3 linked regions of the Oryctolagus cuniculus genome follow. The protein of the gene in region 3 interacts with the protein of the main gene of each other region in a pairwise test. Links are inferred from orthologs where the notes say so. Each region holds a gene or a part of one and is shown on either strand. Other genes may lie near its edges.

Region 1 (4,169 bases), on a different chromosome or scaffold from region 3:
TTGCTTCACTTCCGATCCTGCTCTCTGCTGTGGCCTGGGAAAGCAGTAGAAGATGGCCCAATTCCTTGGGCCCCTGCACGCTCATGGGAAGACCCAGAAGAAGCTCCTGGCTCCTGGCTTTGGATCAGCACGCAGCTTTGGCCATTGCGGCCAACTGGGGAGTGAACCAGAGAATGGAACACCTCTCTCTCTCTCTGCCTCTCCTCTCTCTGTGTAATTCTTTCAAATAAATAAATAAATCTTTAAAAAATTATTATTCATTGAATATAAAATTATCATCTTGTTTTGGATAATTGATGGATGTGATCATCTGAGAGACAGAGAGAAAGAGATAGAGCATATATAGACCAATCAGCCCTTAAACTTCGTTAAAAATCAACATCATAAAAGAAATGCACACTAAATCTACAGTGAGACTATTTGTCACACAACAGACTGAAAAAATCCAAATGTCTGATCTATTCTGTTGGCAAGACAGTGGGGATAGTCATTCTCTTACAATGCTGGTGGCACTGTAAAATGTACAACCCTATGAAGGGTAATTGGGCAATATAAATCAATATTTCAAATGCATATGCCTTTGACCCATCAATTCCACTTTGTAGAATTTATCCTTGTAGATACGCTGGCAAAGGAACAAAATTGCAGGTTATTTATTACAGCGTTTTGTCTACCAATATGGGACTGGCTAAATAAATTACTTAAATACCATGTAGCCAAAAGTTAAATTTTAGAAAGAGTAAAGAAGCACTCTACTGATACAGAAATTACTCTGAGACATATTAAGTGAAAAATTATTCACTGTCTACTCTCTTCTGTATATTATGTACACCTCCGGAGGATACATAGGGAACCAGTTACCTTTGGTGGGGGGTTGCTGAGGCAGGGTGGGAAACAGGCAGACAGGCGAAGGAGTGGGAGAAGGCTTCATTTTTTAATCAGGTTTTCATATTATCAAGTCAAAAATGTAAACCAGAATTGCTTATCATTTAAAAATTATACATGGACCATCCACACTATGGAATATTGTTCAGTGATATAAAGAAATGAGCTACCAAGCCACAAAATGACAGGGAGGAACCTTAAATGCCTATTGCTAAGTGAAAAGAAACCAATTTGAAAAGGTTCCACCATGTATAAATTCAACTATATGATATTCTGTCAAAGGCAAAACCTTAGAGAAAGTGAGATCAGTGAGGGATGAAAGGGTGGGGCACAGAAGACTTGAGGGCACTGAAACTATTGCCTGCATCACTGTGTGACACTCAGTGGAGTCACGTGCAAGTGTCAAAACCCATAGAACTGTACAGCACAAAGGCTGAGCCCTCATGTCATCTAAGGACTTTAGTTAACAATAACGTGTTGACTGTGGCTCATTAATGGTAACAAATACAGCACACTACTGCAACACGTCCAATGTAGAGGACACTGAATAGGGAAAGAGGATATTTGGGAACACTCCACTATCTGCTCAATTTTCTGTAAACTTAAAAATCCTCTAAATAAATCGGTCTATAAGGCCGGCGCCGCGGCTCACTAGGCTAATCCTCCGCCTTGCGGCGCCGGCACACCGGGTTCTAGTCCCAGTTGGGGCGCCGGATTCTGTCCCGGTTGCCCCTCTTTCAGGCCAGCTCTCTGCTGTGGCCAGGGCGTGCAGTGAAGGATGACCCAAGTCCTTGGGCCCTGCACCCCATGGGAGACCAGGAGAAGTACCTGGCTCCTGCCTTCGGATCAGCGCGATGTGCCGGCCGCAGCGCGCCGGCCGCGGGGGGCCATTAGAGGGTGAACCAACGGCAAAAGGAAGACCTTTCTCTCTGTCTCTCTCTCTCTCACTGTCCACTCTGCCTGTCAAAAAAAAAAAAAAAACCGGTCTATAAATTTTAAAATGTGTGTTTGTGTGCGTGCCTTCCGTCACCCAGGAAATGCCTTAGGTGCTGCCAGTACTCAATATAGTGCAGTGCTATGGTTACAGCCATACTGAGCTGAGTCAAGAGCTCAGGTGCTCACTTTATTGTGAAAACAAGTTACCTATGCCACCCTTCTATGAGCATGCCAGACAGGGCAAATAAGATTGCAAATCAGGTCTTTTAGTAGGTTTTGTCCCCTGCCTTGTAACTGAATGTCAAGCTGGTAAGTTTTTTTTTTTCCCCAAAATTGTGCCAATACACCCCAATAACCACCGGCCCCTTCCCCTTCGGGTTTTGCCTTTCTTGGAACCCCCTCCAATGACATGAACAATGCAGGTAAAATGTTTAGCACGGTGCCTAACGGGAAAGGAAAGCTCAAAATGAGAGCGGGTGCTGTCACGGTAAAATGATCATTCATCCAATGACTGAATCGCCACTTCAGGTTCCAAGGGTCCTTAATCCACTACCAGCATAACCAACAGGGCCTCAAATTCTCAGCTCCAATAAGGCCCCAAATTCTGAACCCCAACCTGTCCTCCTTTGAGTACTATCCGCATTGCCTGAGCTCCAGCCCAGACACTTTGCAGTCTTTACTCTCCAGATGCTATTTTTCCTCTGTAGGGTCTTAGGCGTTCAGCCCTAGAACCCCCGCCTCTCCGCCCCTCCCCATCCCTCGCTACCCGGCCCATTCCAGACCCCGCCCCCGCCTCCTCCCAGACATGGCCTAAAGTCGTCTTCACTTCTCTCCTTCCCCCAGGCTGAAGGAAGCTCCTACCCAGATACTCGTAGTCCGGTAGGGCTAGGCGCTCCGGACTCAGCATCTTTAGACCCGGGTATCTTCAAAGCTCCAGCTACCCGGCTTCCGGAACCCAGGTCGCCGGCTCCCTCCGTTGCCATGGCACCCACGCGGCAGGAGGAAAGGTGAAAGGCGGAGAGGGTGTCACGCAAACGGTCTCCGTATGGAAACTCCGAACTGGCCACACAAGTTCCGGGAGCAGTCGCTTCGCGGCTGTTGCGGTTTTTCTGGGCTCCTATTCTTGAGGACTTGGTTTAAAAGGAATCTGAGATGGAGAATTCTTTTGAATCCGTCATATTTTCTGGTGTCGAAGAATTACTGTCAGCTGTCCATATCTGTAATTTCTGAATTTCATAACTATTCCTGCTTTGTACAGCTGTTATCTTAACTCACCATAATAGCTGCCACCCATGAACTTCCATAAATACTTAGTATCCCATTACCTAATCTCTTTACTATCTTAAATTGCTACAAAGCGCTTTCACGTGCGTGTGTTTTGGCTGCTTCTGGAGGTTGGGGAGTGTCTTCTGTCCACGATAGTGCTGGATACCAAAAGGTGCTTTCTTAGTCCTAAAGTAATTGACATTTCTCTCAAATTTCCTAAGCCCTTCTTTCTCCTCTCCCTTACTAGTTGATACCTTTTCCAAGTGTCTTTTTCCTTCCAAGATACTTCATTTCCTGTGGAGAGAGGTGCATAAACTGGGATATTTATTAGATTTTTCCCCAAAAGACACCCAACTGCTATTTTTAAAAATGATTTATTGATCTGTTCGAAAGGCAGAATTACAGAGAGGGAGAGACACAGAGACATCTTCTATCCACTGGTTTACTCCCTAAATGGCTGTAATGGCCAGGGCTGGATCAGAACGAAGCCAGGAGCCAAGAGATTCCTCCAGGTCTCACAAGCAGGGGCCCAAGCACTTGGACCATCTTCTACTGCTTTCCCAGGGGCATTAGTAGGGAGCTGGATTGGAAATAGTACAGCCACAACTGGAACCGGCACTCATATGGGATGTTGATGTCACAAGTGATTTAATCCACTGCACCACTGTGCCAGCCCCCAAACTGCTTTGTGTGGATGTGGTTTTGCTTGTTTATTTTGTTTTTTAAGATTTTATTTTACTTTTTTGAAAGGCAGAGAGAAAGAGAGATCTTCTATCCACCGGTTCACTCCCCAAATGGCCATAATATCCAGGGCTGGGCCAGGCCAAACCAGGAGCCTGGAGTTCCGTCCAAGTCTTGATGGCAGGAACCCAAGTACTTGGGCCATCATCTGCTTCTTTCCAAGTGCATTAGCAGGGAGCTGGATCTGAAGTGGAGCAGCTGGGACTCCAGCTGGTGATCTGATACAGGACGCATGTGGCAGGTGGCAGCTTCCCCATTGCTTTAAAAAAAAATTTCCTTTAGAATGAGAAAGTATTCACTGGTTTTCGACTTCCCAGATGTTTCTCAGTTTGCTCCACTCC
Region 2 (4,202 bases), on a different chromosome or scaffold from region 3:
CTGATGATTTCCCTTATCTCTCAAACCTTTCCTCCATTTTTGCTCATGTTCTTCTCAAGCTCACAGGAACTTCTAGAGAGGCTACCCAGAGTTAAGGAATTTGCTTAGTTCCTTTCTTTGTAAACACGGAACCAATGTTTGAGCAACCAAAATACAGGTCTGAGGCCAAAATCTGTTCATTGCAGATATACTTATTATGTCTCAATGAAATCACAACTTTTCATTATTTTTTAACTGTTTCTACTATCTTTGGTTATCTACTTCTCACAACAAATTAGAACAAGCCACTTAGAATCACCCTATATCAAACTGTTATTGTTTCTTAGCGGAATTCTAAAATATTGTATCAAAAAATGAGTACACATCTAAAAGGTGCCTTTAAAAATTTTCTGAAACTCCAAGCCATTACTGAAAATCGACAAGTTGTTTTAATGTAAATAGAAGGCTTTAGTTTTTTACCCCAGACTAACCTAAAATATTAGTTTATAATTATAGCAATAGCAACAAAGTTATATTTATATAAATAGCAACAAAAAAGCTAAAGCTCCCCCCCATAAAACTTTCTGGAAAATATACATCTGAAAGTGTAATTCATTACATTCCCTTGGAATCGAAGGAAAGCAATGAATACAGTTAAGAACTTCTACAAATACAGCATTGGCTCCATGTGTAAAATGCCAAAAAGAGCTAGAGGAGGAGTATTTCAGTGAAGCTATGGAAAGTATCACTGCACAACTTCAATAAACCCAGATACTTTAAAAAAAAAAAAAAAACTTTAGGTTTCAATAATTCTGGAATTGACTATTATAAACTGAGTTACCATGGCTCCGACACTTATTACCACACAGAACCGAAGTCAATTAGGCAGTTTATGTAGTTTGGTCTGAAATTAAAGACAACTGCATTTTAAACTTTGTCATTCAACTTATTAGTATAAACCCTAGCAACAGGAAAATATTCAAGAATTTCCTTCTATTAGCAGTATTAGCACACAGGGTGTTGCCAGTTACTTCTGAGCACACTGAAAGTTTCTCACACAGAACTGGTATCTCCTGTACCTTTACAAATTCATCACACAGCATTCATCTACATTTGATGAATTATTTTGAAATTACTTTGTGCCACAATTCCGAAAGGACTGGCAACTCTCTTGGTTTCTTAAACAAACTGAAAATGCAGAAAAATTTACAAGATTAAATGAGACAGGTAAAACTTAACATCATCTTCCCTCAAAGGTACCTATTGATCGAATGATTCTGTTTATTGACCTCCAACTAAATACCATTTAATCCTCAGGTATTTATATCTATTATGGAGGACGAAACAGAGTAATGTGCGCAAGGTCATACCAAATAAGTGCCAAAGCCACAGACGGAACTCATGTCTACTTAACACCAAGGCCCCGATCTCCAACCAAAATAAAAATCAAATATTTTTTAAAATAAAGATAAGCAGCAAGCTGCTGGTTTCAACTTGACATTACGACAGTCTTAACGGTGTATGGGGGCGTGACAACTCTGGAACACACGCAGCAGAGTTAAACTCGGGGCATTTTTCATTTCTTGGGATAAAGCTGAATTGATTCCAACAGAGCGCGTCTTTTTGCAGCCACAAGTAGAGAAGATGGCATGAGATTGGGTCACGTGGACTGGAGCTCTTAAGACTTTACAGAAGAAATTCAGAGTTCGTATTTTATGTTCGTTTCTTTCCCCTAAATTGCAAGTATTGGGGGGGGGGGGTGTCCAGGGTTCCAACCCCTACCATTCCAAGGCTTCCAAAAGAGGGACCCGCGCAATCTGGAGTTGAGTCCGAGCCCGGATTCGCAGGGCTCCGAGGCACACACCTCGCCACCAGAGTTCTCGGAGTGTAATCTGCGTGTGCGTGTGTGCTGGGGGCCAGGAGGACGGCAGAAAACCATTCGAGACGTATGCAAACAAAAGGGTTAACCTTTCCAGAGAAGGGGGCAATGAACTCATTTTCACCACTCACTCGGCCACAGACGGAACCTGATCCTTCTTTTTAAGGCCCATCAGCTCGGGTTACCAACTCCTAGCCCTCCGCGCCTAACCAGCTCCACGTCTCCGTCGCCCTCCCCCACCTGGGCACCCGCAGCCGCGGCCCGGGCTCCACCGCCGGGGCTGCCCGACCTCCCCTCCCCCTCAGCCCCAGCGCCACGAGCTCCGCGGCCGAGGCCTGCGGGCCCCGCGGGCGTGCGCTCCACGCCATCTGCCACCAGGCCTCCGGCGTCCGGCCACCGCTCCCCGAAGCTCCCTGCTACAAAGCCCCCGGCCAACTCTTGTGGGGCCGGGTCCGCCGCACACGCCGCTGGGGCCTCCGCGCCCTCGGGTGCTCGGCCCCGCGCGCAGCCGCCGGCGCCCCCGCGCTCCCCGCCGCGCGTACCGTCTCCTCGGGGTCGATGTCGATCTTGAAGGTCTGCTGCTGAAGGGTCTTCAGGGTGACCTGCATGGTGCCGCCGCGCAGCTCCGCTGCCGGGCCTCCGCCGGGTGCTGGCCGCTGGGCGGGGTCTGTGGCCTGGCCCGGCCCTGGGGTCGCCCGCGCTCCTCGCGCTCTCTGGAGGAAGGCGGTGGGGGTGGGGGCTTGTCACATTCGCCCTGCGGAGCGGCCTCTCCCCCAGTCCGGGCCCCGGGCCGCGCCGCTGCCTCCGCGACTCCGGCCTTTCCCGCGAGCTCCGGCCGCCGTGCTTCCTCACGCGCCCGCCGCCAGCCCCCGAGTCTGCAGGAAGCGCGAGGGGCTCTGTGAGACCTGCAGAGAATCCGCTAGCTCACCACAGGATGGTGGCCGCCATCATCGTGACTCGCCGAGACGTGCCCCCTCCCCCACCTGAAAAAACCTGGGGGATGGGGCCGGGCGGGCGAAGCGCGCAGGCGCAGGCTGCGACGAAGTAGTGCGCAGGCGCGGTCCAGAGCTCCGCCCCGGAACTGGGGGCGTGGCGGCTTGCGGCTCTGGAATGTTGGCCGCCTGGATCGGGGTGCGCAGGCGCACGCCGTGGGCGTCCGGTGAGCTTGGGGCGTGCTCGCAGGGTTTACAGCCGGGGCGTTCTTCCAACCGGCTGTCGCTCCGCCCAGGTCCAGACCCCACCCAGCTGCCCGAATTGCGCAATCCGTAGCTGGGGAAGCGCTACGTGGAAACCTGTCTGAGTAGATGCTGAGCCTAGAAAAGGAGAGGTAGAAGGCGGAGTGAAAAGTGGAGGGATCGCGGGAGCCGCAGTCCTGGGCCAACACTTGCGGGGCGCTTGCTGCCGGGGTGAGCCTGTGTGTGTAATCGGCTGATGCTTAATCCTGAGGGCGCGGACTCCAGAGCGCGACCGCCTGGGCTCACACCGTGCCTTTTTCTCCCTGGCTTTGAGACTTGAATCTCCACAGGCCAATTTGAAACGCAGGTGGTTGTCTCTCCAGTGAGCAGACGTGTTGACGAGTTCCCTCCTGGCCCTCTCCGAGTAAAAGTCCAAGTCCTTAGAACTGAGTGCGTCGGCCCGTCCTGCACCGCCACAGGGCTGTCTGTGCCCTTGCCATCACTTCCCCTCCTGCAGCTCTTCGCTCAGACTCGGTGAGGTCCATCCTGGCTACCCTACTGGAAATCACAACTGTCCTAGCTCCTCTATCCTGATCGTTTTTCCCATAGCGTGTATCACCTAATCTTACCATCTAATGTACATGTTTACTGTGTGTATCATCCTTCTCCCTTTCCATTAAGCCCCTGACTGAAGCTACACAAAGGTGTGGATTTTGTTTTGTTCCCCGGTGTATCCCCGGCACCTAAGAAACGCGCCTGGCACACTGCAGGCATACAGTGAATATTCGTAAAATGGGTACCTGTGTTTCCAGCTCCTCAGCACTAACGTGGGGTACTAACAGCACCCAACTCGTTGGTTATTGGAGGGGAGTTCAATAAAGTATGCAAAATCTTAATGTAAGGAGCCTAATCAACAGTCCATAAGCGGTTAGCCATTGATTACATGTCCATTTACAGGGGCAAAAGCTGAAGTACAAGGCTGTTGAGCCGCGTGCCTGTAGTCGGCCACCTGTGAAGTGGCAAACCAGACTCGACTCTGAACTGGGCCAGAATGACTCCAGGAATAGGGCTCCCTGGAGCACGTTTGACTTAAAGCGATTCGAGGATGAAGCCCAGTTACCGTTGGACCACTAGCTGTGTGAGCAAATGTACATTAATCTCTCTGAGCC
Region 3 (4,140 bases):
GGGTTTCTAGCACAGGGCTGTGTCATGTGGTAAGGTGAAGGCACTTGAAGAGCAACAGGTGATGTCACTATCCTCCAGCCAATGGAAATGTCCTAGCAGCAAGGGAGCTGGGAGAGTGAAGGGGAGATGGGGGTGAGGTGAGCAGCAAGGACTGAGTGCTGAAAAAACAAGTGCTTAAGGTTTCATATTGTGTAGCAGCTAGAATTAGGGGCAGAAAAGGGACCCAACGAAGGGTTCCCACTGTCCCGCTGCAGGAAACAGACAACTGTCACCCTAGGTGTGGCCCTACCCTGCAGAGTGTGTGGATCCTGGAAGGCAGCCTTTGTCCCCTTGTCCTTTGCCAGGGTCACAGAGGCTCACCTTCCAAAATAACTTACTTGACGACTTGGCAGTGTGGATTCCACTGGCCGTGTAGAGTTTGTGATTCTGATGTAATCAGGCACTCAGCTTGCTCTCCAGCTCTGTCCTGTCAGGCAGTTCCCGAACCAGGTTAGATGGATCAGGATCCCTTCACTGGATCTGTCCAAAGCAAGGCAGAGGTATTTCACTGTGGTTACGTCCCAAATGCCCTGCTCAGGATGTGCCAATTTTGAATCTGCTCACGAATACAAGAAACTGCTGCTCCACCCCCAGGGAAAAATCCCACCCACCAAGCCCCAAATCCCACCTCCACTCAAGCCACACCCCCAAGGCCAAGCTCTGCATCCACCTAAGCCTCACGCCTGCCATGTAACTGCGTCCACGCAAGCCCCACTCCTTGCACCAAACTCTGCGTCCACGCAAGCCCCACCCCTGCCGTCTAACTCTGCGTCCACGTAAGCCCCACCTCTGGTGCCAAACTCTGCGTCCACGCAAGCCCCACCCCTGCCGTCAAACTCTGCGTCCACGCAAGTTCCATCTCTGGTGCAACACTCTACGTCCATGCAAGTCCCACCTCTGCCGTCAAACTCTGCGTCCACGCAAGCCCCACCCCGGCGCAACACTCTGTGTCCACGCAAGCCCCACCCCTGCCGTCAAACTCTGCGTCCACGCAAGTCCCACCCCGGCGCAACACTCTGCGTCCACGCAAGCCCCACCCCTGCCGTCTAACTCTGCGTCCACGTAAGCCCCACCTCTGGCGCCAAACTCTGCGTCCACGCAAGTCCCACCCCGGCGCAACACTCTGCGTCCATGCAAGCCCCACCCCTGCCGTCTAACTCTGCGTCCACGTAAGCCCCACCTCTGGCGCCAAACTCTGCGTCCACACAAGTCCCACCCCGGCGCAACACTCTGCGTCCATGCAAGCTCCATCTCTGGTGCAACACTCTACGTCCATGCAAGTCCCACCTCTGCCGTCAAACTCTGCGTCCACGCAAGCCCCACCTCTGCCGTCTAATCTGCGTCCACGCAAGCCCCACCCCTGCCGTCTAATCTGCGTCCACGCAAGCCCCACCCCTGCCGTCAAACTCTGCGTCCACGCAAGTTCCATCTCTGGTGCAACACTCTACGTCCATGCAAGTCCCACCTCTGCCGTCAAACTCTGCGTCCACGCAAGCCCCACCCCGGCGCAACACTCTGCGTCCACACAAGCTCCACCCCTGCCGTCAAACTCTGCGTCCACGCAAGCCCCACCTCTGGCGCCAAACTCTGCGTCCACGCAAGTCCCACCCCGGCGCAACACTCTGCGTCCACGCAAGCCCCACCCCTGCCGTCAAACTCTGCGTCCACGCAAGTCCCACCCCGGCGCAACACTCTGCGTCCACGCAAGCCCCACCCCTGCCGTCTAACTCTGCGTCCACGTAAGCCCCACCTCTGGTGCCAAACTCTGCGTCCACGCAAGCCCCACCCCTGCCGTCAAACTCTGCGTCCACGCAAGTTCCATCTCTGGTGCAACACTCTACGTCCATGCAAGTCCCACCTCTGCCGTCAAACTCTGCGTCCACGCAAGCCCCACCCCGGCGCAACACTCTGCGTCCACGCAAGCCCCACCCCTGCCGTCAAACTCTGCGTCCACGCAAGTCCCACCCCGGCGCAACACTCTGCGTCCACGCAAGCCCCACCCCTGCCGTCTAACTCTGCGTCCACGTAAGCCCCACCTCTGGCGCCAAACTCTGCGTCCACGCAAGCGCCATTCCTGGCGCCAAAAGCCAACCTCTGAAGATCCACTGAACCGGCAAACTGCGTCTTGCGCAAGCGCCATTTCTGGCGCCAAAAGCCACTTTCACCAAGAGCCACTGAACCGCCAAACTCTGTGTCCATCCGAGTGTCATACACTCCGCCATTCATGTGCACGTCCTGCACCCACCCAAGTTCCTCACTTCCATTTCCCTGTACTCCTTTCCCCCACCTCATTATCTTTAACCTCCTGTACCCATCAGGCTGTCCCATTCACTCCTAACCTCACACACCCTTTCCACTACTCTGAGCAGGGACACATCTAGTCAGCAGAGGTAGCTAGAGGCTAGAACAGGAATGGCCAAAGCCACTTTCCCTCAAGGATAAGGGCCAGAACCAGTTGTCCTTACTGCTACGTCTGGGCAGGTTTGGGGTAGAATGGGCCCTCCTAAAGTTCTGAGGCCACTCATGATAACTGGAAATATCAGGGACCCCTAGGATTCTGCTTCCAGGGGAATCTAAGGCCACTGGCCCCTGGGACCTCATGGAGGTCAACCAGGATCATTGGAGGGAATCTGTTGTAACCTTGGTTCCCTTTTGTGCCCAAACCCAGCTCCTTACCTTCTGGGAATGCCTCCAGGCCACAGCGCCCGTGCAGCGTGGCCACTCTGCCGCCGCCACTGTACGGAATGAGCCGCGAGTTTGTGGCGGGAAAGAAATTGTCGGGTAAGCAACGGTCTTCAGCACCGCCCACTCGCAGATGCATCCCGGCAACGTCTACGGCCACGCCCACCCCCATCTCCACCTCCACCCCACTCCTGCAATAAAGGGGTTGTGCCCTGTCCACCGCACGTTTCTCCTCTGAGTCATGACTGGAGGGGGAACAGAGAATTCAAACCATACTGAGAACTGTTGCGTTGCAGAGTTGCTCACAGTCCAGCTTGTACGTGCTCAATAGAGGCCGACAGGACCACCACCTGTCACATCAGTCCCAGCAACCATTGCGGCTACTATGATAGGTGTCTCTCACCCATTGGACTGGGACTGGCTCTGACTTTCACCAGTGGCTCCTCCTGTTTGTGTATTCCAAGCTATGCACACAGGGCTATGTGCAAAGTATAGGTCCAGGTGCAAACTACAAGCTCGGTACCTACTAACTAACCAAACGTCTCTGTCCTTGTTAATTTTTATCCACTGTGTCCTAGGGGACGGCAAAAAATAAAAAATACAGCTACTACCTTCATTTTACAAATGCATGCAATTTTCAAGGCTCATTGAGATACAGGAAACTATCAAGATTTCATTCTCTCATTATTCTCGTGATTGCATGAGAATTACCCACGAGGTACCGAAACTTCTCTCTTTTCTTTCCCAAAGCAGGTTTCTTCCACAGAGGGAAGACTTAGCTGTTTTCCTTGGGGCTACTGGGGACCCTAAAGTCCTGTCCCAGCAAAGGGCACTGGTGGGACACTGGTAGCAGTTTACAAAGTGCACACACATTTCCCAGAGCAGGTGATAGTAGCGGTTCAAGTTGTGAGTCAGGAGGTCTTGGCAGAGCTCAGAGTCTGCAAAAGTACCAAAACTCTAGCGGCTATTGCAGTTCCCTGCCCATGCTTTGTGTAGCACTGCTCTGAGATTACCAGAGCCAGAAGTTGTAAGCTGACAGAACGTAAGTTTTGCTGTATTTGGTACGAATAACAGGCCTTTTTTAAAATCATATTTTAATGAAAATGTGAAAAGCAGAAAACTTTTAAAACTAAATGTCACCAAGTAAGATACATACAAATATTGCATTATTCTCCTTTAATTGAAAATTTTTCCTAGGTGAGACATGACACTGTAACCCAGACCCCTATACTGCGTACTTAACAAGAACATACTTTGGACTATCTCTTAAATTAATTTCCTTCTCCTTACTGGAGAAAATGATTACTTGGCGCTGCCACGTGGTCACAGACCAGACGGCTCTCCTTACAGCAGTCCACAGCACCCTCTGGATGACACCACCAGCTGCCCAGTCTCATACAGGCTGTGAGCAGAGCTGTC

Evidence for each region. The genes of interacting proteins can lie anywhere in the genome.
Region 1: the proteins of PNMA5 (region 3) and CSTPP1 interact in binary tests that used the Homo sapiens proteins (3 or more experiments, as listed by UniProt). The two-hybrid records come from large-scale screens. The link is inferred for Oryctolagus cuniculus from reciprocal best matches to the Homo sapiens genes PNMA5 and CSTPP1.
Region 2: the proteins of PNMA5 (region 3) and RAD23B interact in binary tests that used the Homo sapiens proteins (3 or more experiments, as listed by UniProt). The two-hybrid records come from large-scale screens. The link is inferred for Oryctolagus cuniculus from reciprocal best matches to the Homo sapiens genes PNMA5 and RAD23B.

Annotation. Positions count from the first base shown.
Region 1 is NC_091432.1:19,008,740-19,012,908, forward strand, and holds the start of CSTPP1 (centriolar satellite-associated tubulin polyglutamylase complex regulator 1), read right to left. Parts: upstream 2,853-4,169; 5' UTR 2,729-2,852; coding exon 2,683-2,728; intron 1-2,682. UniProt on the Homo sapiens protein: Regulator of the tubulin polyglutamylase complex (TPGC) that controls cytoskeletal organization, nuclear shape, and cilium disassembly by balancing microtubule and actin assembly.
Region 2 is NC_091432.1:211,021,781-211,025,982, reverse strand, and holds the start of RAD23B (UV excision repair protein RAD23 homolog B), read right to left. Parts: upstream 2,853-4,202; 5' UTR 2,467-2,852; coding exon 2,401-2,466; intron 1-2,400. UniProt on the Homo sapiens protein: Multiubiquitin chain receptor involved in modulation of proteasomal degradation. Binds to polyubiquitin chains.
Region 3 is NC_091453.1:131,406,241-131,410,380, forward strand, and holds the start of PNMA5 (paraneoplastic antigen-like protein 5), read right to left. Parts: upstream 2,844-4,140; 5' UTR 2,716-2,843; intron 520-2,715; 5' UTR 378-519; intron 1-377.